Pelodiscus sinensis: one gene and its partners. The protein of the gene in region 1 interacts with the protein of each later gene in a biochemical or structural test. Links are inferred from orthologs where the notes say so. Each region holds a gene or a part of one and is shown on either strand. Other genes may lie near its edges.

Region 1 (9,925 bases):
AGCCCGTGGCCCTTTAAGGGCTCCGGGGCCGTGAGGGGGGCATAGAGTTTCCCTGGTGTTGGCCAGAGTGGCCACCAGGGAAACCTGGGGAGGGCTAGCCTCCCACTGGTTCGAATTAAGGGGCTACACACCCCTTAATTCGAACTAGCTAGTTCGAACTAGGCTTAATCCTCGTAAAATGAGGTTTTCCTAGTTCGAACTAAGCGCTCCGCTAGTTCGAATTAAGTTCGAACTAGCGGAGCGCTAGTGTAGCGCCTATCAAAGTTAATTTGAACTAACGTCTGTTAGTTCGAATTAACTTTGTAGTGTAGACATACCCTGTCAGAGTCCCTTACCTTCCCCACCTAGTCTAGCAGTGTTGATGTTCTCTTTACCAGCTAGTCTCTTTCCTTATCAGCGCTCACCTCCTCCAAACGCCTCTTCCACTCTCTCCCTCTGGGGGGGAGAGGGAAGGCTTTTTAAAACAAGGCCTCATGGCAACCTTAAGTGAAATCAGCTATCCCTTAATTTATTTATAGCAGCCCTGCCTGGGCCGTTATCACTACACCGGAACTCCAAGAAGTGAGCTGTTTCTAGCTGCCCTGAAGTTAGGAGAGGGTTTTGTGCTTTTTAAAGCCACCTGTGCCCCATCTAATCTAGTCCTCTAGCCTGACCTTGTCTCACACACATACATATATTTTGCCTAATGATCCCTTAAACCATGGCTACACTACAAAATTAAGCTGGCCTAATTTACATCAGCATACAGCCACCAAGGTACATCGCTTGTGCATATCTTTACTTTGCTTCTGTATCAGCAACAGTGCCGGCCCGAGCCATTCTTGCGCCCCGGGCAGCGGGCACGTGGCGCATGTGTGGCCCTGACCATGGGCACGCAGCGCCCCTTACAACTGCAATCAGGCGCCCCCTATAGGTTGGCGCCCTGGGCAGCTGCCCGGCTAGCCCCCCCTTTTAATCCAGCTCTGATCGGCAATGTGCGTCCTCACCAGGAAGGCATATATTGATTGTCCTGGCAGGGTAGGGCATTGTGGGACATTTCCTGCAAGCCAAAAATAATTGATGTAAGCAATGCAGCATCTAAATGACACTACGTTGACCTAATTATATCAACCTTACATCTACACTGCTCCTGGAGGTGGAATTATTGAGTCAGCATTACAGGGCAGTTACATCAGTGGGAGGAAAATTTAAGAGTAGACACTTGCATAGTTAAGTCAATATTCACTTACTCTGTAGTATAGACCAAATCTTAGCCTCAGCCCACAGTCAGCTTCTCCTATGGGTTTGCCCTATGGCCCATTGCTTTGGACAGTGCCTTCTATAGTTTTCAGCTCTCTCGCTGCATAAATGGAGTTAGTTGCTCCTTCCATGAAGCCCAAAAGAAGAGTGCTTAGCATATCTATCAGTGTTCACCACTTTGGGGAATTATATAGTTTCAGTTTCAAAAGCCAGCTGAAGACAAAAGCTGATTGCTTCCCATTGCTTAAAGAAGACTTTCCCCCAGGATGGGAACCCTTTTTTGGCATTCTCCATTCCCATGGAAAAATACCAGGTTCAAAATGTATTTCAGTACCAGGTGGTATGGTCACATGTTTTTCTAGGACCAATCATCGTTTGGGCTTACAGGCCAAACAAGGCTATTCACAGGTTATGAAGTTGATTACTGAATCATTAGGTTTCCAGAGTATCAGTGATGGCTGCCTTTAACACATTTAGAACTATAAACAGATCCACACTTTGTATTTTTAACGTCACACACAAGAATGATACATGCACCACAATAGGATATATACATTCAGCAGATTGTAACATGAAAATTATTAGGTTACATGAGGTATTTTGCCTTAAGCATTTTCGAGGTATGCATATTTATACTCACAAGTCAATTCTCATAAAGCATGAGCAGGGGCATCATAAAATGATTGCTGGAGAATTTCAGCTAAAAAGTTAAGTTTCCAGCTCTCATGGCTGCAAAGAAAGCTTGTAATTGTCATGAGTGCACCCTAATGACTCAAAAGCCACAGGGCCAAGAGCAGAAGCTTGCACAGTTGGCAAGTTTTTGAACTGGAAGCTAAACATGAAATAACAGACTCATGCTGTAAGGGGCAGACAGGCATAACTGGTTCTGTCTCACAAGCTACTGTGCACTCTAGGCCCAGGCCAGTTGAAAGCCACTGGCTTAGGACTCTACAGGCACATCTACACAGCACCATTATTTTGGAATAATGTCAAGCTGGAGGCCTTCTTACTCTGATTCCTGTAACCCTCATTTTACAAGGAGTACGGAAGTCGAAAGAAGTGTGTTCTTGCTTCGACTTCCTGCTGTGTATACAGCACCAAAAGCTGAATTAAGCTATATTGACTTCAGCTATGCAATTGATGTAGCTGAAGTTGCATATCTCAATTCGATTTTTGCCGTGCTGTGTAGACATGTCGTACTGTGCTTCTTCAGCAGATACAGGGATTCAGAGCAGAGATTCTCTGACAGGAAACACTTCCTATGTGCACCTTGTCATGCAGAGTAACAGTTGGGAACATTCCTTCTAATTTGCAATAAGTGACGTTTCACTGCCCTGTACATTAGTGCAACTGTATTTCAATTTCCTCATCCCTTAAAAAGCATTTCTATTGTGCCGCTTTCTTGTGTCTATACAGCTTAGTCTATGAAAAAATAAGCTTGCATTTCAGCTATCCTGTCCTAACCAACATTGCTCCATCTACTTCCCTAGTAGTTGTTTCAACCCCTTATTATGTCTTGTAATGCTAGACTGAAAGCTCTTTGGGGGAGAGGCTGTGGCTCGCTAGGAGTCTGTCTACACAGAAAAGAAAAAATCTGCAGCTGGCCCATATCAGGGCTGTTTTGCTGCTGTGTAAACTTTGGGGATTGGTCTGGAGCCTGGTCTCTGGACTCTCCCACCTCAAATAGTTTGGATTTAAATGCAACTGGTGTCCAGAGCAGAACTCTGATAAATATTTTCAAACCCGTTGGGCTGAAGCCCTGGGTCCCAGCGTGCCCTGTGGGGCTACAGTCCTGAGCCTCAGCACCTCTGACAGGGCAAAAGCCCCAGCTCCCAGCACTGCCTATTGGGCCGAAGTCTCAAGCTTTGGTGTGCACGAAACTGAAGCCCTGAATTCTGTTGCCTCCCTTGGGGCTCGTTTCCTGTCCATGGAAGGCAACAGGGTGTGGGAGGGTGTCGATGAGGCGACTGCTGCTGACTCCTCAGCCACGCTTTCTGGCAACATCCATGCTGCACAGAGGTGGCCACCATCATCTGCATGGGTGGCAGGTGAACCCCAGGCTCAGGGAGACTTGCCCCTGCCTGTTCTGCCCAAGGTCCCACACCTTCTTTCTGAAGCCTAGCAGCCCCCCTCCCAATGCTGGCAGCCCCCCCCCAAGACCTGGGCCACTGTCCCTCACACCCAGTGAAATGGGTTGCCAGTGTAGCTCCCCACTCCAACCCCAGAGCACCAGGCAGGTGAGTAGAAGGCCATGCTCTTAAGTGTTGGATAGTGGGAGCATGCTCCACCCCCCAACATGCCAAGTGGGCAGGTGGTGCGAGGCTTTCCCCAGTCCAGTGCACAGGCCAGCCTTCATTAATCCCAACCTGGGCCCCCAGCCATAGGGGGAAAAGTTCCCCACAGCTAGGGCTGGATTAAGACCTTTAGAGACCCTAAGCACTGAAAAGATTATGGTGCCTCCCCATATGTAATTCAAAAGAAATACAATACTATACCGTACAATAAAATTTTATTTTTTGAAATGACACAAAACTTACATGTATGTTGAAATTAAAATGTCCACTTCCATACACAATAGGGAAAGTGAATCAAGTCTGTCCTGACACATTGTTGTTCTCTGAGGGTTTTTTATTCTTTTCAGCTGAGAAAAAGAGCGTTCTGTGGAGTTCTGATTTTTCCCATGAGGACTACTTCGATGCTTTTTTTGAAATATCAACTTTAAAAAAAAATCTCATTTTTTTTGGTGCCCCTGCTTTGCTGGTGCCTAAACAAGTGCTTTGTCTGACTATTGGGTAATCCAGCTCTCCCCACAGCAGTGAGAAGTGACAAGGGGCCTGGGTGCAGAACATGTCCAGGGCCTCACAAGGCTATTTGGGGAGGCTCCACCTTTCCCTGCCTTCAGTACCTACCACATATAATCAGATGGTAAAAGAAGTAGCTGTGTCTTGTTCCCCCCCCTTTATATTGTCCCTTTCCCAGTATCAGGAGGTGTGAATTGTGTATTGCTGTTACCACTCAAGAAAGAGATATTGGAGTCTCTGTGGATAGTTCTCTGAAAACCTCCACTCGGTATGCAGCCGAAGTAAACACTCCCCCCCCCCCCAAAAAAACCTAGCAAATATTAGGAACCATCAGGAAAGGTATAGATAATAAGAAAATATATGATACCACTGTATAAATACCTGGTATTCCCACACCTGGAATGCTGTTTAAAAAAAGATAGAATTGGAAAAGTACAGAGAGGCAACAAACATGATTAGGGGAATGAAGCAACTTCCCTATGATGAGAGAGTAAAAAGACAGGGATGGTTCAGCTTTGAAAAGAGACAATTACATGGATATAGGATTGAGGGAGAAAATTGTGAATGGTGTGGAGAAAGTAAATAAGGCAGCGCTGTTGATTCCTTCATTCAAGAACCAATAGTCACACAATGAATTTAACAGACAACAAGTTTAAAACAGACAAAAGAAAGTTGTTCTTCACACAATATAAAGTCACTCTGTGGAACTTGTTGCCAGGGGGATGCTGCAAAAGCTCAGAGTATAAATGCATTAAGAAACGTATTAAATAAATCCATGAAGGACAGCTCCATCGACAGCAGATGCAACCCCATGCTCTGGGTGTCCCTCTGCTGCCAGAAGCCGGGACTGGATAAGAGGGGATAGATGACTCCATAATTACCCTGTTCTGCACATTTCCTCTTTAGCATCTTGCAAAATTTGCTACCAACAGACGAGCTACGGCGCCAAATGACCCCAGATCTGGTCTGACCCAGTGCGACCATTATGTTCATGTTCTGTCCCAGGCTATGCTCTGTTAGTGGTTAGTAACACTGGCTCAGCTGGAGTGAATGCAAAGGGAAAGCGAGGCAAAGTGGAGAGACGGGAAGAGGGGAAGGGGCTTCCCAGACCTGGGGCGGTGAGTGGGGAGACTGCCCCCAGGAAGACATGGAAAGTAACTCGCTGGGAGAATGGGGCTGAGCGCGCCGCTGGGCAGACCGGAGCTAGCGCTGGGTCAGGGAAGAGACGCGTCTGCGCGTGCTGCCGCGGGGCGAGGAGGCCAGGGTTCGCTGGGGTGCGGAGCGGACGAGCTGCCCCCCAGGCGCTCCCTGCTGTGCGCGTTTCTCTCCTCGGGGCCGGGAGGGGGGAGCAGCGGGCGCTGACGGGCCGGGCAGCAGGTGGGCGAGCGCCCTGCCCGGCTTGGGGCGCGCCCGGGGCTGCGCTGCCAGGGCCCCCCCCCTCCACGTGCCGCCCCGCAGCAGGTGAGCGGAGGTGGCGCCTGCGAGGCAGCCGCCTGGCCGGGCGCTGGGCGAGCCGCGGGCTTTGCTCCGCCCCCGGCCGGCGGGCGCGGCTGGCGGCGCTCGGGGCGCTCCCGGGGCGCAGCCCTGTCCTGTGCGCGGCTGGCGGGCTGGCGGCCGGGCGGTGCAATCACATGGTGCGCTAAGAATGCTCCAAAGATGGCGGGAGCGGCAGCGGCGGCCGGCGGCCGGGCGCAGCAGCGGAGCGGCTGGCTGGAAGTCCTGGTGCGGGACCGCTGGCACAAAGTCCTGGCCAACTTGGGCGAGGATGCGCTGGTGCTGAGCTGCGAGGAGCGCGCCGACGGCGCAGCCCACAACGGCGTCGGGGCCAGCGGCAACGGGGTGCCCTGCCGGGGGGCGGCCGCCGCCAGCCCCGAGCCGCCCGGCGGCGGCGGCAGCCCCAAGGCGGGGGGTGGCCCCGGGGTGCGCACCGCCTTCACCGAGCTCCCCGAGCAAGTGCCCGACGCCATCTCCAACAAGAAGCGGTGCGTGAAGGTGCTGAAGCAGGAGCTGGGCGGGCTGGGCATCAGCATCAAGGGGGGCAAGGAGAACAAGATGCCCATCCTCATCAGCAAGATCTTCAAGGGGCTGGCGGCCGACCAGACCCAGGCCCTCTACGTGGGAGATGCCATCCTGGCCGTGAACGGGACGGACCTGCGGGACGCCACCCACGACGAGGCGGTGCAGGCGCTCAAGCGGGCGGGCAAGGAGGTGCTGCTGGAAGGTAAGGGGTTAAAAGGAGCCCGGCGGCTGTCCCTCTGCCCCAGGCCTTGCACACTGGGCAGTGGGTGATGAGCAGGGGGAAAGACACAGGACTCCTGTGTGTCCCAACCACTCCCCTGCCCCTGTTAAAAACTCTCAGGGGGTAGTTTTGTGAGTCTGCAACTTTAAAAAACAAGTGATCCTGTAGCACCTGAGAGACTAACAAATATATCGAGAGAGTATCATGAGCTTTGAGACGCTGGCAGGGCAGGGTGGATCCTGCTGTCCATGGGACAGCAGTAGGTAAGGGGTTTTCACCCCTGCAAAGTTGGGCCTTCTTGCTACCTGTTCTCTGGCGTGTTTATTGAGGGGGCAGAGGGAGTATATCCTCCCTAGAGTGCCCAGATCACAAACGCCAGGGCTGTGCGTGTCTGTGACTTGGAAGTAAAGAGTTAATTTGGTTTTACAAGCAGCGCTAAGATCCTTAGGCGTCCTGCTCAACTCGGAGCTTGTGAGAGGGGACAGCTTCCCCAAACAGATCGGATGGTAGGTTAGCGGAGAGATCCCCGCCTATGGCTAGGGAAAGCTAGGGGTTAATTTGACTAAAGAAACTCCGGGAACCCCAGCGCCAAGCTAAGGGCTTTGCAAGTTTCACTATGTGTATGTTAAAAAAAATAAAAAAAGGGAGGAAGAGGAAAGCCAGGTCACAAACTACAGTACAATGCAAACCTGAACGGGACATAAAGAAACTACCTGCACTTCCCTGGGCACAAGGTTGAGAGATTTTAAACTCTTGTCAAGGGGGAGGGAAAAAAAGTGACAGAACTGCCTGAACTACTGAGATCGTCCACATTTTGACATTTGGTAGTGTGTTAAGTGACAATTATCTGCAGGATCTCCAGCCTGGGGCTTTGCAGCCCTTTCTGCAAAGAGACATAGTTAGCAAACCCTTCCTAAACAGCTCCGATAATCCAAGACAGTGTTTGTCATGTTGTGTTTGACTAACAAAGGCACAAAAAAAGCAGACTTCAAATCCAGAAGGCAGAGAGAGAGTTTGACTATTACTTTTGCTCTGCAAAAAGGCAAGAGAAACAAGCAGATCACATCACATAGGGCTATGGCAACTCTGTGATTTGAAATGACTGAAATTTACACATACACACCCTTCTTAGTTCATCCCAGGAGAGAAGGGGAACAGATGTGATAGAAATTGGCAAATATCTCATTGAAACGTTTGTAGGGGAAAAAACCACAGACTGCGGTGAGATGATCTTTTAGAAGCCACCTTAAAAATGGAATGCAAAAGAAGCGAGTCTTTGAGGGTTTTGGCACAGACTGTATGAAAAAAGAGCAAAAAAGAAGAGAGAATAAGTTAAAGACCGGAAAGAAAGTTCCATTGATCTCAAGATTTTTGGGGGGAGGGTAGTTGAAGAGTCTTTTCCAGGCGAGTTAATTTAGTTGCTAGACCTGAGAAAAGGATCAGCAGAAACAAATATGCCTATTGCGTGTTAAACAGAAAATGCCCTTGGTATGCATGTGTGTGTTTGATAAAGTGCCTATTTGTACATAAGTTCATTTAACCAGCAGTTCTTGACCTTTGAGTCATTAACATTTGTGGAGCGAGGTGGTGAACCTGCTGCTATTCCATGTCTCCTATCTTAGTTTGAAATGGATTTGTTCAGTCATTTGCAGCCTGTTCGTCCTCTGGTTCTACTAAACAACAGCACAGTTTCTGATTTGCCTCTCTTGAGTCACTGAAAAATGGTAACACTTCTTGGAGGAGCTGTGGGAGCCAGTGCTAAGAATTATGGGATGCATTTGTGGATCAGTTGTAAATACCTGAATATAGGCTTGCGATATGGAAAGGGGATGAGAATCCTTGGTTTAAAACCTTATAGCGTCTGTGGGGTGAAACACAAGGCATTTCAGATTACTCTGGCTGTGAAAGTGAGGAGCTGATCAACTTTGCATCTTATAACAAGGGGACCTTGTCACCCAGAAGAAATTAAATATTTCTGAATTGTTGGGTTCCTGTTTGTCAGGGTGTTATCTAATTGTCCCCTTTCTTTACCCAGCAGTGAAATAGATCACAAAGGTGTACTAGGTCAGAGAGCAGAAAGGGAGACACTACTGTGGCCGAATTCCATCTTTAGTGATAGATTACAGCTGTGTGGTCCTACCTATGGACAGAATTTGACCTTTGGTGTTGTCTAATGATTAACATAGCAAATACTGTGTAATTTTCTTAACTATTTTCCCCTATGCAGCCCCTATACACAAAACTGGACATGCAGGTGTGCAACACTTATAAAAAGTCAGTGTTGTTCCCTATAGGAGCAAAGACCAGGGACTCAGTCTGCTCCATTCTCCTTTTTAAAGCCTTATTGCAGCAGCTGCCTTTCGCTCTTTCCTCCCCTGAAGTGAGTGCAGATGCCTTATTTCTATAATAGAATAGCAATGCATTTTAATGTCACCCCAAAGGATGACTGATGCTGAAATACTTACATTGGGCCAGGTCCCCTGGAGCAGCTGAAATCAGAATCTCCCACAGTGTCTCCCAGAACCCACTATTCAGGTTAGCAAGGAATCAGCGAAGGACTTGTTCAAACAGATAGCTTAGGACAGTTTTATCAGAGCTAGTATCCCACTTTGAAGATCACTCTTTAAAGATACCATATAAAACATCCCTTTTATGACTGAAGCAAGGAAAATCAAAGGTGCTTGAAAACTTTTGGTTTTAGTTTTGAAAAAGGCTGACACAGCTGGACTGATCCTGCTTAGCTAGTGCAGTCCATGGGGGGAGGGGTTGCTGTTTGTGGGAACTGGATTATGCCCTCTGTGATTTACCTTACCTTCCTAGAGAGTTCTGTATTAAAAACAGCAAGCTCGCTGCAGGAAAAACACACAGGTATGCAAGAGATGATCCTCCCAGAATTCTCTCCCATTAAAAACAATTGGCAGAGCAAAGGAACATTGCTGGCTGCTGTGCCAATACATTAGTTCTTGTGTCTTGAAACGTTACGCTTCTGTTGGGGAAATAATGGAACTTACTCAACCCTGCTGGGCAACAGTATCTGCAGGGGCAAGTTCAGTGCAGTGGCGTTCTAAGGGCCTGATCATGAAAGGTGCTGAGTGCTTTCTGCTCCTAATTTGAAGTGGGTGAGGCTTGCGGGCACCCAGCATTTCACAGTAGTGGGACTCTCATTTTGTAAGATGTCCTCCACAGAGACACTGCAAAAATGCTTGACCAGCTATATGGTACATTTGCTAAGTGAGAGCCAAATTGTGGCCCATCCTGCATGCCGACACAAGGGCTTAAGGAGATAGAAGGTACCTCCTTATTCCCCCAGCTTGCCACCTGAATCATGGGTACTAACACGAGAGAGAGAGCTGCGTATATGGGGCGGGCTCCTGCTTCCTCTCCTGCATGGATGTAGGGAATGCGGGGTGCAATCGTGATGGGCCTTAGCTGTAACCCTTTCTCCCCAACTGCATCAGCTAACATTTCGGGGCCGGTGGAAGGGGATGTCACCTGCACCAGTATAGGGAAAGCACAGCATATTTCTGCTTGGGCAGCAGAACTGTGTGCTGCAACTTGCTCAGGATTTCTGGCACATGCCCAATCTCTAACTCTTCTAACAGGAAAGCAAACAAGGCCAATTTATAGTGTATGATTAACATAGATA
Region 2 (10,732 bases), on another chromosome or scaffold:
CATAGGAGGTGAATGGAACCAGGACAAGGTTGCTCTAATTTGTGTTAACAAGGTGTACTCATCTTGATTATATGCCTGAGCCTAAGCCTCCAGATACTTCCTAAAATTCAATATCCAGCACAAGGAGTTGATCGAGCTAGAAAAATGCTCCAATGCCTTTCCCTATTTGTAAGCAGTCAGAGCTGGTAAAACTAAGCAGAGCCATTTGTATGTAACTTAGTTAGATATAATATTTATTAAGTCGTGGATACTGCAGCAGTATCTAGTCAGTTCTAGGCTGCATTTAAGAGATTTATCTCAAATTCCTCATATCCAGTCGACAAAAATGTGGAATGTGAACATTCGAAAACTATCCAGCAAATGGGAGCCATTTAGGCATTTCCTTGGTTCACTGCCAGCTTTACTGTCCCTCAATATAAACACAGCTAGCTGCCTGTCGCTTTGTGTTTTTTTTTCTCCCTTTAAAAAGTTATAATATCTGATACTGTTTGAAAATTAGGTCAGTTCTATACAGGGAAAAACTACTATTTTCTGTTATAACAAGTGCACCCATCCTAAAATCTACAGAAATAATATACCCTTCAACTGCCAGAGTTCAGCAGACACTCTGCCGAACAGTGTATTAACAGTTCAGTCAGTAGCCCAATCCTGCACAGTTTTAGATTATATATTCACAAAAGACTAGAACGAATGATTGTACAACAGATAAGGATTAAGTAATATTTCCTCTGAACAGCTGATCAAGTTGCTTGAAGGTGGATTTGAAGATTTAGTAGAATGGTGTTCTCAAAATATTTGGCTCTCCACAGCCAACATCTGACAAAGTCTAAAGAAGACACCCAGATAATGGGCTGGCCAAAGCAGCTGTGAATAACCTTTGGGAGTTTTTTTAAATTAATGGAAACAGAGACAGACTTTGAGTGATAGGTGTTATAAGAGCTATCAGCAATAATTGTGAAGAAAGAAGAGTATCTAACATGAGGAAAGCTCAGTCATTTTATTGTGAGAATTCAACTCTATGTTTTGCCTGAAGACAAAATGTGCAGCTTTTTGCAGCAAGGGAGGTTTAGGTTGGACATTAGGAAAAATGTCCTGTCAGGATGATTAAACACTGGAATAAATTACAGTGGGGTTGTAGAATCTCCATCACTGGAGATATTTAAGAGCAGGTTAGACAGACACCTGTCAGAGACAACCTAGGCAGTACTTGGTCCTGCCATGAGGGCAGGGGACTGGACTTGATGACCTCTTGAGGTCCCTTCCAGTTCGATGACTCTGTGATCCCCTTTTGAAGTACATCCAGATAATGTAAGTGGAAATTCCTCAACAGACAAGGATTGCAAGATGAAACTGAATTAGTATTGTTGGAACATCTAGTGGACCATAATAATGTTTGACTAACAGAAGATAGCAGCCTATTTTTTGATTGATCATGTAATCTGATTTAGTAATGAACTGTATAGTGAGAATTAAACTCAATTTAAGCATTGACTTTAAATGTTTGCTCTTCTTCTTAAATCTTCTAAGTTTTTCCTTTTCCACTGAAAATATCATAGAATGCATCACGCTATGACATCACACATACCTTAGATTTCATGTGTTATAATGTTGTACTCTGGGATATTTTGCACTGAATGTTCCTTGCAGTCTAATTAGCATAACAAGGCATTCTTCAAATAAATCTTTGTTTAATTCAATGGAGCTTTGGTTTTGCAATTCATACCAAATGGGGAGATAATATTAACAACTGTCCAAGAACATAAACTTGAACATAAACTGTTCATTAACTACTCTTGAAAAAGGCCCTGAAAAGTTTATTCTGAGGCTTAGCTAAGGCTACGTGGCTTCTGTTTGTAGACTGTAAAGTATGTGTTTTGAAGTGTCTTATCAGTAAATTCAAAGAGTATGTTAAACCAATAAAGAAAATTATTACATCCCTAAACCACAAAAATCCAAACCAGAAAAAACTCAGGAAGTCTATAGCAAAAGACAGCCAGAATTAAATTTAAGATTTAGGAATTCTGAGGGGAAAACTTGCAGTTTCAGTCATTTGTATACATTTGTAAATTACTAAATACTGATCTGATCCAGATGAGATTCCTAAAAATAGCTTTTGTGTGCTGCTATGTGAAAGGATGGTTGGGAAATTTTTGTTCAAATAAGAAAGTTACCAGAGAGAGGGAAATGTACTATACATTTGAATCAAATGTTTGGGTACTAATAAATATCAAGCAGTGAAGTTGATAACCTTTTTCCTGAAAGAATCAGAATAGGTTTTCCTAAAATTGACATAAACCAGTAAACAGGAGTAAAATCCAAATAACGGCTTTGCTGATCAAAAATAAAACCTCACTGAATCAGAATGGAGGGAAGAACCCCTTTGACTATATATACACCTCACAGTCACATTACTCAGATACTTATTTAGTTGTACTCATATACACCTCTATATGTACTATCATAATTTGTACTTTCAGTGAAATCATTAAACATGCTTATTAAGTTCACAAGATGCTCTAACTTCCTAGTTGACCATCTGCTCAGGAATAGGTTTAACTGTAACTCTGTAGTACTCCAAAGAGGTTGCACAGAGCCTTTTCATGCATGCAGTGACTGGACTGTCCGTGTCTAATTCAGGAACACAGATACTACTCCCAGAGATCATTACTAGCCACTCCAGTCTCCCATTAGGTCAGGAATACCACCTTTCTTGGCCCTTACACCAGACAACAAACCCAGCCTATTATAGAGGGGAAGTGCACTTAAAATACAATTAAAAGGGAACAAGCATTAGTCTGCCCAGATGTCCCTTAAGGAATTAGGGCCAAGAATTCCTCCTGAGACTCCTGCTGATGCGTTGTACCTCAATTCTCTTCCCACTTCCAACCACAGACTACGGGTTAAGACTCACCATCTGGCCTTATAAAGATTGATGTTTATGCACAGTTAGTGATCTATTCAGAATCAGTCATAAAGCGGCAATGTTTATTTTTCCTCAACACAGATGGTGAAATGTGCATGTGCAGTGAAAATGAACAGGCATTTAATTGAGCAGTACACTTCATTTGTTGCTTTCATTTTTAGCTGTTTTAGTTTAACGGAACTCAAAACTTCAATAGTTATTATTATTCAACAGGATGAGCAATTTGTGGTTTAAAATATAATAAAGCCTTCTGTTACCTTTAAATTCAGTTTAATTTAAATTGTGATGACCTAAATTGATCCACTATCCAAAAACATTTCTTCCAAAAGCCAACATGGAATATTTTAGCCCCTTCCTATTCCTGTATCACACTGTAGTGGTATGTGACTCACCACCACTGTGCCTCCTGGTGGCAAGTATGGGAATTAGCTTAATCCAGTTTGAGGGTACATCTACACTGCATGCTTATTTCATAATAAGCTATTCTGGAAGAAATACTCCAAAATAGCTTATTTTGAAACAGCACGGTTACACTAAAGGAAAGCCTCAAAATTAGTCCGAAGTAGGCTTCCCTAATGTGGACATGCTACCTCGATTTAGAACCCCAGGAGACACTAGGGAGTAATTATTTTGAATGGTCATGTGGAGGGGCTATTTCGAAATAGCAGCAGTGGATCATCCACACTAATGCTATTCTGAAATAGCTATTTCGGAATAGGTGTTATTCTTCATGGAATGAGGTTTATAGAAGTAGGAATAAGCTGTCTGTTAGTTCAAATTTATTTTGAAATAACAGAATTCATGTGTATTGTTATTTCATTGTTATAACATTGTTATTTCAGTATAACATCCATTATTCTGAAATAATGCTGCTGTGTAGAGGTATCCTGAGTGTGCTGTGTTTGGCTGGTCTCATCTGTTGTTCATTCACCTGTCTCCACCATCTGGTTCTGGATGTCCCTTAGACCATAGCATCCACTTCATAACACTACCCTCTGGCTATGCCCCCAACGCTGTTCTCCCCCTTTCTGGAGGAATCTGTAGTCTTCCTGGCTCTAAACCTGCCTCCGTGGCCTACTGCAGTCCCAAAGTCTACCTCTTTGCCTCACAGAGGCTCTGATTGGCTATCTGCCATCCTCACCCTGATTTGCTCCCCACAGGCCCTTTCTGACTGTCTGTGGGTTTGTAGAGTCTCCCTAAGGCTCTTCTTTTGGCCTACTGCACCACTGCAAACACCTATTGCCTTTTTCATCAAACCTGTGGGAAGTGTGTACTCAAATAATTAATGTAAGATTCTTGTGAAACTTGTGATTAAGGTTACTTTACAGTGGGTGATAAACTAACTCCAGGATGAAACACATAGGACACAAACACGGGAGTTAAACACTTTTTCATCTAAGTTAGGGCCACAGGGAACGTGACTTCTGAATTGGGAGCAAAGGAAATGGCTTAATAAGTCTAGCTCTGAATTTTGAATGTACTGATTAAGAGCAGTGTCACATGGTGTGCCACTCACCATTAGACTGGTGTCTTCTGGTCATGCTGGGAATTAGGTCATCAGGTCAACACTATGGTCGCATACCACCACTCAGTCTTTTGCTCAGGCTTGCTGCTTCTCTCTCATTCTTGGAATGATGACATCCTCTTTGTGATTCAGCCCTCCAGCTAGATCACTCAGCTTTTTCCTTTCCAAATGACTATATAAAGGGGTATATCAAAGTCTTTCCTTCATCCGTCACAAGCAGTCTTGTTGTTCGCTGCTTCTAGTGCCACTCCTTCCCTTGCAGGCAGGGAAATCCAGGCCCACCTTCTATTCTGGCTTCCAGTCCAGAGACCCTATATCCACAAGTTCTGGGCTTTCCTCTCCTCGCCCTAACTGCTCCTTCCCGACACTGCTTCCTGTCCTCCTGGTTCCTCACCTTTCTCTGGGAGTAACTGCCACAAACCCTCCTTCAGGGAGTGACTGCAGCCTACGCAGCTCAGAAGTCTCTAAACACTCCTCCCTCTTCCTGGAGGGTGATTGCCTTCCCAGAAGCAGCCCCTGTTGTCAACTCCCTGGCTTTCTAGGCCCTACCTATTCCTGCATAACTGAATCTGCTTACAGTCGTCTGCTCTTTGTTTTTTTCATATCATCTCCCTAGTTTTAGAGATATGTAAACATTGCCTTAATATAGAAATAGATAGTTCTGGATTCAATCACCTGATGTTTGTCGGGGGCAGGTGAGCAAAGCCCACAGGTAAGTGCTGAATGTGCGGGACTGGGAGATGGGTTGGAAATGGGGGGGACTACGGCCTATAATGGCAAGGAGAAAGGAGGGTCAGGGCACAACAGGGAGGCAAGATCAAATCAGTATCTTAGATGCCTATATACAAATGCGAGAAGTATGGGTAATAAGCAGGAAGAACTGGAATTGCTAACCAATAAATACAACTATGATATCATTGGTATTACAGAAACCTGGTGGGATGGGACGCATGATTGGAATATTGGTATGGAAGGGTACGGCTTGCTCAGGAAGGACAGACAGGGAAAAAAGGGAGGAGGGGTTGCCTTGTATATTAAAAATGTACACACTTGGACTGAAGTGGAGATGAACGTAGGAGATAGCTGTGTAGAGAGTCTCTGGGTTAAGCTAAAAGGGGTAAAAAACGAGGGTGATATCATGCTAGGAGTCTACTACAGGCCACCTAGCCAGGTGGAAGAGGTGGATGAGGCCTTTTTTAAACAATTAACAAAACTATCCAAAGCCCAAGATTTGGTGGTGATGGGGGACTTCAACTATCCAGACATATGTTGGGAAACTAACACAGCGAGGCACAGGCTATCCAATAAGTTTCTGGACTGCATTGGAGACAACTTTCTGTTTCAGAAGGTTGAAAAAGCTACCAGAGGAGAAGCTGTTCTGGATTTGGTTTTAACAAATAGGGAGGAACTAGTTGAGAACTTGAAAGTGGAAGACAGAATAGGGGACAGTGATCACGAAATAATAGAGTTCATGATCTTAAGGAAAGGTAGAAGGGAGACCACCACAATTGAGGTTATGGATTTCAGGAAGGCAGATTTTGATAAGCTCAGAGAACTTGTAGGTAAGGTCCCATGGGAAGCAAGACTGAAGGGAAAAACAACTGAGGAGAGTTGGAAGTATTTCAAAGGGACGTTGTTAAGGGCCCAAAAGCAAACAATTCCGCTGTGTAGGAAAGATAGAAAATATGGCAAAAGACCAGCTTGGCTTAACAAGGAGATCTTGCATGATCTCAAAATAAAAAAGGAGTCATATAAAAAATGGAAACTAGGACAACTAACAAAGGATGAATATAGGCAAGCAACACGGGAATGCAGGGGCAAGATTAGAAAGGCAAAGGCACAAAATGAGATCAAACTAGCTACAGGCATAAAGGGAAACAAGAAGACCTTTTATAAATACATTAAAAGCAAGAGGAAGACCAAGGACAGGGTAGGCCCACTGCTTAGCGAGGAGGGAGAAGCAGTAACAGGGAACTTGGAAATGGCGGAGATGCTCAATGACTTCTTTGTTTCGGTCTTCACCGAGAAGTCTGGAGGTGTGCCTAACGTAGTGAATACAAGCAGAGAGAGGGTAAGTTTAGAAGATAGGATACACAAAGAACAAGTTAAAAATCACTTAGGAAAGTTAGATGTCAGCAAGTCACCAGGTCCTGATGAAATGCATCCCAGGATACTCAAGGAGCTGATAGAGGAGGTATCTGAGCCTTTAGCTATGATCTTTGAAAAATCATGGCAGACAGGGGAGATTCCAGAAGACTGGAAAAGGGCAAATATTGTGCCCATCTATAAAAAGGGGAATAAGAACAACCCAGGAAATTATAGACCGGTCAGTTTAACGTCTGTCCCAGGGAAGATAATGGAGCAGGTAATTAAGGAAATCGTATGCAAACACTTGGAAAGTAATAAAGTGATAGGGAATAGCCAGCATGGGTTTGTGAAGAACAAGTCATGCCAAACTAATCTGATAGCTTTCTTTGAAAAGATAACGAGCCTTGTGGATAAGGGAGAAGCGGTGGATGTCATATACCTAGACTTTAGTAAGGCATTTGATACGGTCTCGCATGATATTCTTATTGATAAACTAGGCAAATATAACTTAGATAGGGCCACGATAAGGTGGGTGCATAATTGGCTGGATAACCGTAGTCAGAGAGTTGTTGTTAACGGTTCTAAATCCTGCTGGAAAGGGATAACAAGTGGAGTTCCTCAAGGGTCTGTTTTGGGACCCGTACTATTCAATATCTTCATCAATGATGTAGATATTGGGATAGAGAGTACGCTTATTAAGTTTGCAGATGATACCAAACTGGGTGGGGTTGCAACTTCTTTGGAGGATAGGGACATAATTCAAAATGACCTTAGCAAGTTAGAGAAATGGTCAGAGGTAAACAGGATGAGGTTTAATAAGGAGAAATGCAGAGTGCTCCACTTAGGAAGGAACAATCAGTTCCATACATACAAGATGGGAAGCGACTGTCTAGGAAGGAGCATGGCGGAAAGGGATCTAGGGGTCATAGTGGACCACAAGTTGAATATGAGTCAACAGTGTGATGCTGTTGCAAAAAAAGCAAATATGATTCTAGGTTGTATCAACAGGTGTGTTGTAAGCAAAACTCGTGAAGTCATTCTGCCGCTCTATTCTGCACTAGTTAGGCCTCAGCTGGAGTACTGTGTCCAGTTCTGGGCGCCACATTTCAAGAAAGATGTGGAGAAATTGGAAAGGGTACAGAGAAGAGCGACAAGAATGATTAAAGGTTTAGAGAACATGACCTATGAAGCCAGGCTTCATGAACTGGGCTTGTTTAGTTTGGAAAAAAGAAGATTAAGGGGGGACATGATAGCGGTTTTCAAATATCTAAAAGGGTGTCACAAGGAGGAAGGCGAAAATTTGTTCCTCTTGGTTTCTGAGGACAGGACAAGGAGTAATGGGCTTAAAGTGCAGCAGGGGAGGTTTAGATTGGACATTAGGAAAAAATTCCTAACTGTCAGGGTGGTCAAATATTGGAATAAATTGCCAAGGGAGGTGGTGGAATCTCCCTCTCTGGAGATATTTAAGAACAGGTTAGATAGACATCTGTCAGGGATGGTGTAGACGGAGCTTGATCCTGCCTTGAGGGCGGGGGGCTGGACTCGATGACCTCTCGAGGTCCCTTCCAGTCCTATTATTCTATGATTCTATGATTCTATGTTCTAACAAACAGTAATTTTCAGTACAGTAGGAATGGTTTGAGTAAATGAGCTGGACTTCTATGCCCCAAGTGTGTGTAGGCTCCTCATGTTTAGGCTACTACTGAATGGTTGTTTTCTAAATATCATATATAATAATAAGAGTGGGATTTTTGACTGGAGATGAGATGTTCCTATGCAGGCTGCTCTGGGGAGAGAGGACAACCCCAGACCTCTCTTGTCACAGTAGGTGAGAGCAGGTGAGAAGCACCTGTCCATGCTCAGCTGCAACAGGCACAGGTGGGGAAGGGGTGCGTGTCCCCCCAGCTGGGGGACAGACAGACACACAAACAGACAAACTCTTTGAAATATATAGTAGACAGCTTTCCCTTTTTCCACCTCTGCCCCCTGTTGCCCCAATGGAGTTATAGCTGTCCTGGTCCCCATCTCTGGCCCCTTGCTGCCCCCTGTGGTCATTCTGCAGTAAAACTCTCTCCTAGCAAACCCTTCCCTAGCACAGTTGGGGACACATTAGTGAGGCTTGGAGGGGTTTTGGAGCAGTTTTTTTTTTTTGCGCATCTCACTTGTGTGGCCCCAACTGACTTTTCTGTGGGTCAGTTACCCTTGACTCAAAACAGGTTCCCCGCCCCTCTCATTAATAAAGACAACGCTGAAACTTTTTGTGTTTGACATAATATTTTATTTAAAAATGAAGCTTGGCCAACAAGCCCCCAGTTGGGGCCAAGCCCCCATCTGGCTGCAGCATCATAACACTTCTGCACCTCCCTGACCCCAGACTCGAGCCTATCATACACTGGAACTCCTTGTCCTGAGCCTCTCACATCCCCAAACTCCTGCACCCCCACATCCCCAGTCTTCTGCCACAACACTCCTGCACCATCCACACACTGCAAATCTGTGTCCTGAGCCCATCCTACTCCCAGCCTCCCTGCCCTGAGCCCTTCATGCACCCCAGCCAAACTCCTGCATCCTCACAGCCACAAGCCTGTAGCTTGCTCAGCACCCCAACCCTCCACCTGACCCCAACACTCTCCAGCCTGGAGCCCTCTCCCTGAGCCAGCATCCTCTTCTCTACTTTCTCCTGCACCCACATTCCCTCCCAGAACTTGCACCTTTCACCCCTACCCAGTGCTTTTTTTGTGAGCCAAAATAACAGTGGAGACAGCGTGAAGACCTGGGGAAAAGTTAACCAAAAAAAAAAATAAAAAGCAACAACTTTACCCCAGCTCTTCACGCTGTCTCCACTGCTATTGTGGCTCTTTGTCTGGAATGGGTAGGCCACCCCTGCAGTAGGCTAAACACTATTATGTGGTCATCTTACTTTTCCAGTCACACACTCAAATCCCATGGCTACGTCTAGACTAGCATGATTTTCCGCAAAAGTTTTTCCGTTAAAAGCATTTGCGGAAAAGAGCATCTAGATTGGCACAGACGCTTTTCCGCAAAAGCACTTTTTGCGGAAAAGTGTCCGTGCCAATCTAGACGCGGTTTTGTGCAAGAAAGTCCCGATCGCCATTTTCGCCATCGGGGCTTTTTTGCACAAAACAATACCGCGTTGTCTACACTGGCCCTCTTGCGCAAAAAAGCCCTGATGGCGAAAATGGTGATCGGGGCTTTCTTGCGCAAAACCAGGTCTAGATTGGCACGGATGCTTTTCCGCAAAAAGTGCTTTTGCGCAAAAGCGTCCATGCCAATCTAGATGCTCTTTTTCACAAATGCTTTTAACGGAAAATTTTTTCCATTAAAAGCATTTGCGGAAAATCATGCCAGTCTAGATGCAGCCATTTAGTTTGTTTACAATGTAATAGGACTATAAGAACATAAGAATGGCCATACTGGGTCAGACCAAAGGTCCATCTAGCCCAGTATCCTGTCTGCTGACAGTGGCCAATACCAGATGTCCCAGAGGGAGAGATCACCACTGGTAATCCTTATGTGATCCCTCCCCTGTCACTCACCTCCAGAGAAACAGAGGCTAGGGACACCATTCCTACCCATCCTGGCTAATAGCCATTGAAGGACCTACCCTCCATGAATCTATCTAGCTCTTTTTTGAATTCTGTTAAAGTTCTAGACTTCACTGCATCCTCTGGTAAGGAGTTCCATATGTTGACTATGCACTGAGTGAAGAAAAATTTCCTTTATTTGTTTTAAACCCACTGTCTATTACTTTCATTTGCTGACCCACAGTTCTTATATTGTGGGAATAAGTAAATAACTTTTCCTTATTCACTTTTTCCAAACAACTCATGATTTTATAGCCCTCTATCATATCTCCCCCTTAGTCTTCTCTTTTTTAAGATGAAAAGTCCAAGTCTTTTTAATCTCTTTTCATATGTGACCCGTTCCAAAATCCTAATTATTTTTGTTGCCCTTTTCTGAACATTTTCCAGTGCCAATATATCTTTTTTGAGATGAGGCGACCACATCTATATGCAGTATTCAAGATGTGTGCGTACCATGGTTTTATATAGAGACAATAAAATATTTTCTGTCTTATTCTCTATCCCTTTAAAAATTATTCCTAACATTCTATTTTTCCAAGAACTATCCACAATGACTCCAAGACCAAGTCTTTTATAACACAAACTGAACAT
Region 3 (9,948 bases), on another chromosome or scaffold:
ACTGAGAGACCCGGCAGTGTGGTTCAGGTACTGGATTTTGCCTCGCCCTGAACTAGAATAACAATATATAAGGTTTCTGAGGAACTTTGATGTTAAAATCACACAGAGCTCCAACTCCATCCACAAGCAATAAGAAGGAATTGAAGGGGATCTGGACAGTGCCACCTCATATGGCTCATGGTGGGGGAGGGACTATGGGTTCTGCTAGACAAAATTTTCCAGTTCTGGTATGCTGAGTATGCACATAGCTAAGTGCAAACACTGAGTTACTCTGCATTTCCTTCAAACAACTGGACACCACTGAAATTCCAGTGGCAAATAGAGAAGGCCACGAATAAGAACCAGAAAGGATTTTAAATATTGTTGAAAGAAGACTAGAATTTCCTTAGAACTAATGGCGTTGCAGCTATATCAGGATATTTTGGATGCTGATATTGGATGCTGATATGGGAAGCAGGGAGAAGCTGTTATAAAATTACACAAAGTTGTATACCATTTATTTTTAAACAGATAGACTCCTCTTTATCTTGAATGCTCAATTCATCTGTCTGTAGGGAAGCCCAGATTGAGAGAAATAAGTTTGTGACTTTCATGTGACCAAGGCACAATTTTTATTTAAAAAAAAAAAAAACCAAACCAAACCCCAAACCAGAAGTATATTTTCCACAGACTTGATTCCTACAATTATAATAAAGATATAGTAATATGGTAAAAAACCTTAGTCTTCCGATTAAAATTCTGTGTCTGCATCAATTCTGAATGTAGCTAAATTGAAGGCACGGCTACAGCACAGAAGTTTTTTCTGAGAAATGGAGGTAGCACACTGACCATTGTGAAAAAATTACAATTATCCACCCATAATCTCCTCACTTGCCAGTTGCATCTAGCTGTCCAACGGAGCAGAAGAGATGATCTTCTCTACGGAGGCACTGAAAATGAGGCACAGCTCCAGACTTTAAGGCAATTATTGCTAAGAGGAGGAAGGATGAGAGTGGAAGCATGGAGAAGACTGCATGAAACTCAGAAGGGGGAGGGGAAATAGCATAGAATTGAGAGACTCAGCCACACAGCCCCAGAAAATGTGGAATGGGTACAAGTTTAAGAAAAGATAGCATTCATCAATCAAGTATGTAGCTTCTGCAGAGAAAGGAAGAACCATACTTTTCCATTAAATATGTCAAAGAACTAATTAGGTTTGAGACTATAAACCCTCTGCTATAAAAAGCTTACTTAACAGTGTATATATAACTACCCACGTACATCAGATTCATGATATGTGATCATTTGTGTTTTCTCCCTTCAGAAGAGAACACATCACCACCACCACAAGATGAACATAGATGGTGAGCCAATGAGGACACTTACCACCTTTGGCTCATAAGTGAGCCAATGAGGACACTAATTCAAAAGTTACTCAATGTATTGTGAGACCAGTGCCAACAAATGAGTAACTTGCAGATGTATCATAGGCCTGTTAAGGGGAAAAGGTATTTTAAAAAAGGATATGTGTGTTGGCTGGTATGTTTTAATTATATGGTATTTTAAAGTGTATTGGCACACAAGGTAGATAGTATAACAGAGGGGTGGGCAATAATTTTTAAAAGGCGGCGACTTCAGAAATTTCTGAAGTGGTCCTGGCCACTCTGCAAGGGGCGTGGCCTCAGTCGGAAGGGGAGGGGACAGGAGACTTCTTGTGGTGGAGCCTGAGAAGTCTTCCTTTTTCCTCCCTCCCCTGTTCCCTAGAGAAAAATGCCAGCTGTTTTAAAACAGCTGGTGGTGCCCTATAGGCGCCTAGTGGAAGGAGACCTTGCATGCTATCATTGCCCCCAGGCCAATCTGGACCTGGAAGCAGGGCAGCATGTGAAGTGTCCTCACCTCCTCAAGAGTGTGCGGTGGGTAGGAAGACATGCCAGCTGTTTTAAAACAGCTGGCACGTCTCTCTAGCCCAGGGATGGGCAAAGGGCCCTCTGAGGGCAGGATCCAGCCTGCCAAGCCGGTGGATCCTGCCTGTAGCCGCCCTGCCGCTCCCCCACCCCCAGGCCAATCAGGACCTGGGGGCGAGGGAGCATGTGAAGTGTCCTCACCCCGCAAGAGTGTTTGTGCAAAGCTCTCTCGCACCCCCCACCAAAGGAACGGGTCAGCTAGAGATAAACATGGCTCTTTTAAAATAGCTGGTGTGTGTGTCTAGCTGCTGCACGCTCTTGCAGGTGCAAGGAGACTTAATGTGTTTCCCCCACCCCCAGGCCTTGATTGGCCTGGGGGTGGGGGAATGGCAAGGCGGCCGTGGGCCAGATCCACTGGCTTGGTGGGCCAGATCCTGGCCCACGGAGGGCCCTTTGTCCATCCTTGGTGTAATACCTTTAAAAGTGTTAGGTGAGTGTGGCATGAGAGAATTTCCATTTGTTCAGTTATATCTTAAAAACCTAATAAATTATGTACAGAAATCAAGTAAAATATTGATTGTAAAGTGAAGCAGGAAAAAAAAGTTAGGAATTGACAGATTTTAAAGTTTCCTGTGGAACCTAAATATGTCCCTTGTTTGTGTATGTATTATGGTTCAGTCTTTCATTACAAACAGCAGAACCTGAGTTAACAAATACCAGAGTTGCAAAATGAGCAGTCAAGCTCTTTTGGAACTCCAGCAGGGCAAGAGACCAAAACAAAAAGTGCAATAATGTGTTCAATGTAAACTGCTTGAAGGGAAGGCTTTAAAAAAATTCACAAAGTAAGGAAACAGTTTCTGTGATTGTTTCATGTAAAATTAAGAACTAGCATTTTTTTCCTGCTCAGTAAAGGTTCATAGTTGTTTTAAGTCTATATTCAATTATAAACTTTTGAAAGAACCACCGTAGTCATGTTCAGAGATGCGAACATTTCAGATTTAGGAACAACCTGCATTCCCTTGGGGATTGCAAAGCTGAGGTTCTACTCTACTGTTTGTTTGTTCAAAACACAGTGTTGTACAGGTAGGGAAAGGATGTTCTCTAGTGTTTTAGAGTTTGTCGACATTAAAATGCTATGGCACCACAGATGTGAACCATAGTGTAGACACTGATGTAGAATTCTCCCATCGGCATAGGTAATGCACCACCCAAAAAGGCAGCTAAGTCAATGGATAAATGTTCTGTCAACCTAGCATTATCTGCACAGGGATTTAGGGGTGTGAATTTTTTATACCCCTTAGTCACAGTAAATGTTTGGCACGTGTTTTCAGCCCTGCATTAGAGGCTTAGTTTATTTATACATTTCAATCTTGAGACAGCAAGTGTTATTTCAACTCCATATACTTGTAAAACCAGGTTAAAGTCACAATACAGCTTTCCTATAGTAGGTGTATGCCTGCAGCAATAATTAGGAAAAGCTACTGCACAAGTATTACCAGTATTTACAGTAGGTGTAAACACCTAACACAAACGTCCTTTGCTGGGAAGAAAAATCATTCAAGAACACTTGGAAGTTTATTTTAAAAGGTTGAATAATTTACCAAGTTCTGCTGCATGGATACATGCAGTATGTCTAGCTTTTCAAACTTCATATGACCAGGGTTCAATAAACTATAGAATCTACTCGCCCATGGCAAGTAGATTTCAGCCGCGTGTCTCGTTTACCGGCGATGCACGCATGCGCAATGCGGCTCTTGCGCATGCGCAGTGCGGGGCTGGCGAGCAGCTTTCGCCACTGTTTGTCAAGCCCTGCATATGACTATATGCATTTAGGGAAAAAATTGTACCTTGTAGCATATCACATGCCCACAGAGCGCTGCACAAATTCAATTTATTGATAGATTTCTGAAGTAATATATTTCCTGGACAGTGTTTTTAAAGACAGGAAATGTCAGCAACAATTTCCTCATAGTAGGTAGGTTTAATAGGGGGAAGGAGGCTTTTTTATTAAGAAGTTTGACAATCTACTAGAGACCTGATATGGGTTCAGATTTAGGCTGAACCAGGCTAGGACAAAGGGGTAGAAGAGGAGGTAAACAATAAAAGAACATAATAGCTGGTTTATATACTGACAGATCTCACACTAGGCAGATGCATCTTCAAAAGCTGGATCATCTGTTATGGTAGTGGCTGGATGAGAGTTACAGACCAGTTTACCATAGACAGGACTTCAAAAGGTAGCTTTTTAACATCATTCTGTGGAAGCACAGAGAGAGCAAGTGATTTGTCTAAGATCGCACAAGAAGTCTGTCAGGGTGTATCTACACAGCAAGACTTAACTTGAAATAAGCTACACAAATTGAGTTACGTCAATTGCGTAGCTTGTTTTGAAATTCAAATTGGGAGCGTCTACACAGCACTTATTTCAAAATAGAGCACTCATCCTTTGTCTTCCCTTACTCCTTGTATGATGAGGGTTACAGGAGTTGGAGTAAGAAGTCCTCCAGCTTGACAGTATTTTGACATTATTTCGAAATAACTGCCTGCTGTTTAGACGTGGACTAAGTTATTTCAAAATAACGTTGCTGTGTAGACGTACCCTCACAGAGATGGGAATTTAACATGAATGTCCTGAGTCCCCATTGAGTGTCTTATACACAAGATCAACCTTCCTGACTCTCTTTTGTTTGTTTGATTCTGTCATGTCACTTACTGAGTCAGGGTTCAGCATAGACTCCTTCAGTTGGAACTAGCAGAATAAAGGAAGGAAAAATCTAAATGGCCACCCTGCAACTCAGAAACTAATAATTAATAATTAGATTAATGCTTTCCCTCCACCACAGTATTTTATCAGAACAACAAACTATCAAATAGATAAAATAATCGCACCTTAAAGACTAACAAAGCGTAGATGGTATCATGAGCTTTCGTTGGGCATAACCCACTTCTTCAGATGACTGGAGTATTAAAAATCTAGATCAAAGAATAAATAAGGGGTAGGGAGAGGAAAAAGGAGAAAAAAGGGGGAAGGGGTAAAAAGAGAGAGTGAGTGAGTAGGTGGTTCAAATAATTACAACAGGCTGATAAGAACAGTTAGCACCTCCATTGTTTGGTTGGTTGGTGAAGCCATTAGGATGTGGAAGGTAGTGTGGGAGCCAGCCAATGTCCCTGTTCATACCATTTGCATAAGTAAATGAAGTTAAGTTCCAATCCTTCCCTGTGTATTTGGCTTATGGAATTGGCCTGAAGCAACACGATGTCTTGGAGATCCATTAATGAGTGTCCATCACTTTAATCTGCCTGGATGTCAGCACAATTTTCAGTGCTGTCATGAATTTAGTTTTTATTGCTTTCTTATGTGTCCAATTTTCTCTTCATTTGTAAGCCTATTTTCAGGGTGCATCTACACTGCACCCGCAACTCAAAATAAGCTACACAATTTGAGCTATGCAAATTGTATAGCTTATTTTGAGAAAATAGCTTATTTCAAAATTTGGCATTGTCTTCACAACACTTATTTTGAAATAAATTGCTATTCTGAAACATCCCTTACTCCTCGTGGAATGAGTTTACAGGGTTGTTGGAATAAGGAGCCTGTTATATTTCAAAATAATGGGCATGCTCAGAAGATGTGGAATAGCTATTTGGGGATACTGGAGCACTGTAGACATAGTGTCAGTGGCTAGCTGTTTGGTCAAATGTGTCTCACTAAACTGCTTTCTCTCTCTGTTAGTCTTGCCAGACTCTGTGTCAGGGTGAAATCAAGACTTGAGCTTTAAATTCCTCCTATTTTTCCCTAAGTGGGAAATTATATTTTACTTTTTTTGCATCCTAGACATCACACCCTTCTGTCTTGAATAAGATGCATTTATTGTTTGTTGGTATAACAATAAAGACTTATCTACCTATATAAAATATTGGACCCACATTTTCATAAGTAACTAATGATTTTGGATCCCCAAATTGATAATTGAAAATCAGACCTCTTGTACATGCTTTTATATAGGTGCACACAATCGCTAGTTATGTTTGAGAACTTGGGTTTAGTACATTAAGAACTTAGAACTACTGTAATGTAATACATAAGATTCCTCAAAGGGCATATGAGTCTTGTGGCCTCTACCCCTTTTGATGCATAAGGACTTGTCTTCACTACACAGTGGATCAACACTACAGTGATTGATCCACCAGCGGTCTGTTATTGTGTCTGCTTAGATGGGGGAGTGCTCAGAGGTCGATTTATCACATCAGTTTCGGTACTTCATCAGGACAAGAAAAGTAGCCAGAGTCAACGAGAAAGCAGCTCCTACTGACCTTACTGCATGGAAATACGTCAACTTCAGTTAAGGTATTTTCGTAGCCTAAGTTGCATAGTTTAGATCGATGTGGATGGGGGAGTGGTGGATAGTGTACATGGTATATTTTTCTCTTACTAAAATCTTAGCCTATGTTTTTCAGACCCCTCCCCCACAGTGTGGAAGGTACACGCTATCTGTTTTTGGTATTGGTTGATATACCATTTTAGACTAGACCTCCCTTAAAAAGAAATAAATGTCTTTTGTGTCTATTGATGTACCTAAATTTTTAGAATTTTAGGGAGTGCCTCGTGTTTAGAAAAGTAGATGATCTTTAATAATTATATGAATGGATTTTATTTCTAATATTTTATGTGAAAGGGATATCAACTGGTGATCTGGGATGAATATGCTAAATGGAACCATCTTTTTTCCATATGTTTGAAAGTAATTTCTACATTCTGGATATTGAAAATTGCATATAAATTAGTAAGGATGCTAAATTGTGTTTAATCAGATAATTGAGTCATGGATGGAATTTCTTATTGGCTACTCAGTTAGACAAAAAGGGGGGAAACTGCATAGCCCCAGTGGGATTATCTCCTGGAACCCGCTGTGGCTCTGCCTTTTGAATGTAGTTGACTACTTGACTAGTTGCTTTCTTCCCTGTAAATTGGCCTATTTGAAAATGTTCCTATAAACGTTGCCATTGAAAAGGAGCTATATTTTTTTGGTATTTCACTAATTTTTAAGAATTAATAGTGATTTACCAAGGAATTTTTTTAAAAAGTGAGGTTGGGGAATACTTTACAGTTGCTTTATAATGATTAAAGAAGACAGGAATGGTTGATGGATTGGATTACATTTTTTTAATCTTTTTTTAAAAATTAAAACCCATTAAGTGCCTATGACCAGGATCATCACATAAGTGTTTAAAACTTTAAAAATACCCTAATTAAGCAGTTTCTTACCATCACAATAGATAACTCTTCAGTCTCTTGGTGTGTTGACATTTCATTAGTATTTTTTTTCCTTAGTGATCATACAGTCTTCGAGGTTAGACAGAACCTGAATTTGTAATCTTAACCCCTTTCCCCTTAAAAAAGCAATTTGTGTGCTTTTAGCAAAGAAATTAAAAAAAAAAAAATTCCCAAACATTCCTTATCTAGATATAAATAGGAGGATAAGAGGGCATAGGGGACCATGCCCAATTTCCCCCCTCTTTTACAGGGTTACCTTTAATGAGAATTGTGGGGGCCCCCCCACAGGAGAAAATGGTGGCAATGATGTTGTAGTTGAATGTTCTGAAAGTCACACATTTTATTCAGTAAGCTCTATTATTTACAAAATGATAAAGCAGTTTAACACCTGGATTTCTGGTAAAGTTGCATATCGATAAAAGAAACGGATACATTGTCCAATGTTTTCTTTCATATGTTGCCAGGGTTTTACTAGAAGCAGTAAAAGAAAACAACCAAATGGAAATTTCATAAAAAAAAAAAAATCCTGACTAATAGATTTATAAGAAGGACGGCAGCGTTACCCATCAGTATCCATTGACTGGATTAGGGATGTTAAATTAATTAACTAATCAAATAGTCGAAGGGATTTCCATTGACTATTAGATTAGTCTATAAGGGCGCGCCTCCCTTGCTACAGTTCAAAAGCGGAAGCTCCACAGTGAGCACGGGACTAGCGGGGGACTCCATTGGCCCCATGTTCCTTGAAGTGCCTTAGCCTTTGAAATGTACAAGAGCCCCAGCGAGGATCTTGTACATTTCAAAAGCAGAAGCCTGGCTCCTGGGACTCCCCTGCTGGCTCCATACTCCTGCAGTGTCTGAGCCTTTGAAATGTACAAGATCCGTGCTGGGACTTTTGTACATTTCAAAAGCAGAAGTGCAGCAGAAGCAGTGCAAGCGGAGACTGCTTGCTGATAGAGGCAGCGGGGGGGGAGGAGGAGGGAGGGGAAGCTACTGGTTACATCACTAGTCGACTTGTTGCTTACATCCCTAGATTAGATAACTGTTAGTTAAAAGGTATTTTTGTGTAAATATCGCCACTTTAAATACTAAAGAAACCATAAGAAACCATGATTTTAAAAAAGGCTGTCTCTTCTCTTGCTGTGTGACTAGATATGGTCTGGGAGTACTATGAAAACATCATTCTGAGTCTTTGCACATGAAAGGGGGACTGTCATGTTGGTTGACAGTAATCAGTGCAACCTATTAAGAAGTGGTACTGACAACTTTTTTTTAAGCGATCTTCTGGTGAAAGGATTGTGGCCATAACATGGTATTTCAGGAGTGAAGATTATGGAAGCATTGGTGGAAACAGTTGTGATATATGGTCATTAAGGGAACGTCTAGTCTACATGCCTCTGTTGCCAGAGGCATGTAGATTAGGCTACCCGACATAGGTGATTTAAATAATCGCCGCTTCTTTTAAATTTAAATTTACATGGCTGCCGCGCTGTGCCGATCAGCTGTTTGTCGGCACAGCATGGTAGTCTGGACGCGCGGGGGTCGATATCAAAGGCATCTGTCGACCTCCCATGTATGACGTACCCTAAGGTTTCACAGAAGAACTAAGGGGACACTGGGGACTCGGCAGAAGTAATAGGCTCAGATAATGCAGAACTTTTTTGCAACTTACTTTTTATCTAAGGGAGTCACTCCCTAACAATACCATTGCTCTCAATAACTCCATTGCACCATAGTGGATTTGGAGCAGTTTTGTGTTGTCTTGAAATAATTAAACCAATATGTGGACAAAGTTGAAACTAACGCAGAATATCCTGGCTTAAACTAGAAGTTGTCCATAATGAAAGCTGTGGGTCCAAACAGTCTTTGTGGATCAGGCCAGTTTACAGTATTCTGAGCTAATTCAGGGAGAGGAGAACATCTTGCAAAATATTACTTGTGTGTGTACCCTTATAAGGTGCTGGAAGAGAAAATAAATGCACCTCTCAGGATGCTACTAAGAAAGTCTGAAAGGTCTATTAAAACTATTCGTGAAAAAGGAAGCTCTCCAGTGCTTGTCGATGTAAAGGATAACTGCTTATTTTCCTGAAAAATGGTATTGATTCTTATCCTCATTCAGAAGATGGCATGATCTTATTGGAAATCCCCAAATGCTAAGCTTCATGTAATATTTGACTAAATGTTGGAAAGACTTAAAAGGTAACCACAGAGTATAATTCCTTGTGGCTGAAACTCCCAAGACTTGACTCCACAGTTAACAGCCTGTGCTAAATTCTCCTCTCATCCCCTGAACTCCAGTGTCTTGCCCAAAGATTTATTGTACCAGAAAAGAGACTAAACTCTGAGGCACAAAAATAAGTTAGCAACCACTTAGTTGTGGCCTGAACACTAGCTACTTTTATATTTTTCCAGAGTGGAAAGGGAACTTTCAGACAGATGAAATAGCATCTGTCCTATTACCCAGATAAGTCATGATTTCCCCACATTCCTTATTAACCTTTGTCATAATGGTAGCAGCAATTAGAGCGAGGATCTCTATTCTCCTATTTCACTTAACTGGCTTGTCCAGCCTCTATGAGCAGTGATCATCAAAGAACTCCAGGAGTCACTGATTTCAAAGCCCCGTGCCTGAAACATATTCAGTCCACAAAAATTATTTCGGAAACTGGACTCCTGTGTACTGAAGGGAGAGAATACCCAACTCTCATAGGTTAAGTATTTGATTCTGTGGAACGTGATATTAACTGTCAACACAAGAATTCAGATAAGGATTCAATCATCCACCTAAAT

The links.
Region 2: the proteins of SNTB1 (region 1) and CYSLTR2 interact in a test that uses a peptide from one of them, tested with the Homo sapiens proteins (2 studies listed by IntAct, with this or other methods). The link is inferred for Pelodiscus sinensis from reciprocal best matches to the Homo sapiens genes SNTB1 and CYSLTR2.
Region 3: the proteins of SNTB1 (region 1) and TANC1 interact in a test that uses a peptide from one of them, tested with the Homo sapiens proteins (2 studies listed by IntAct, with this or other methods). The link is inferred for Pelodiscus sinensis from reciprocal best matches to the Homo sapiens genes SNTB1 and TANC1.

Annotation. Positions count from the first base shown.
Region 1 is NC_134712.1:21,361,665-21,371,589, forward strand, and holds the start of SNTB1 (beta-1-syntrophin), read left to right. Parts: upstream 1-5,228; 5' UTR 5,229-5,696; coding exon 5,697-6,261; intron 6,262-9,925. UniProt on the Homo sapiens protein: Adapter protein that binds to and probably organizes the subcellular localization of a variety of membrane proteins. May link various receptors to the actin cytoskeleton and the dystrophin glycoprotein complex.
Region 2 is NC_134711.1:289,116,334-289,127,065, reverse strand, and holds the start of CYSLTR2 (cysteinyl leukotriene receptor 2), read right to left. Parts: upstream 4,804-10,732; 5' UTR 4,440-4,803; intron 1-4,439. UniProt on the Homo sapiens protein: Receptor for cysteinyl leukotrienes. The response is mediated via a G-protein that activates a phosphatidylinositol-calcium second messenger system.
Region 3 is NC_134717.1:32,483,333-32,493,280, forward strand, and holds the start of TANC1 (protein TANC1), read left to right. Parts: upstream 1-6,098; 5' UTR 6,099-6,205; coding exon 6,206-6,231; intron 6,232-9,948. UniProt on the Homo sapiens protein: May be a scaffold component in the postsynaptic density.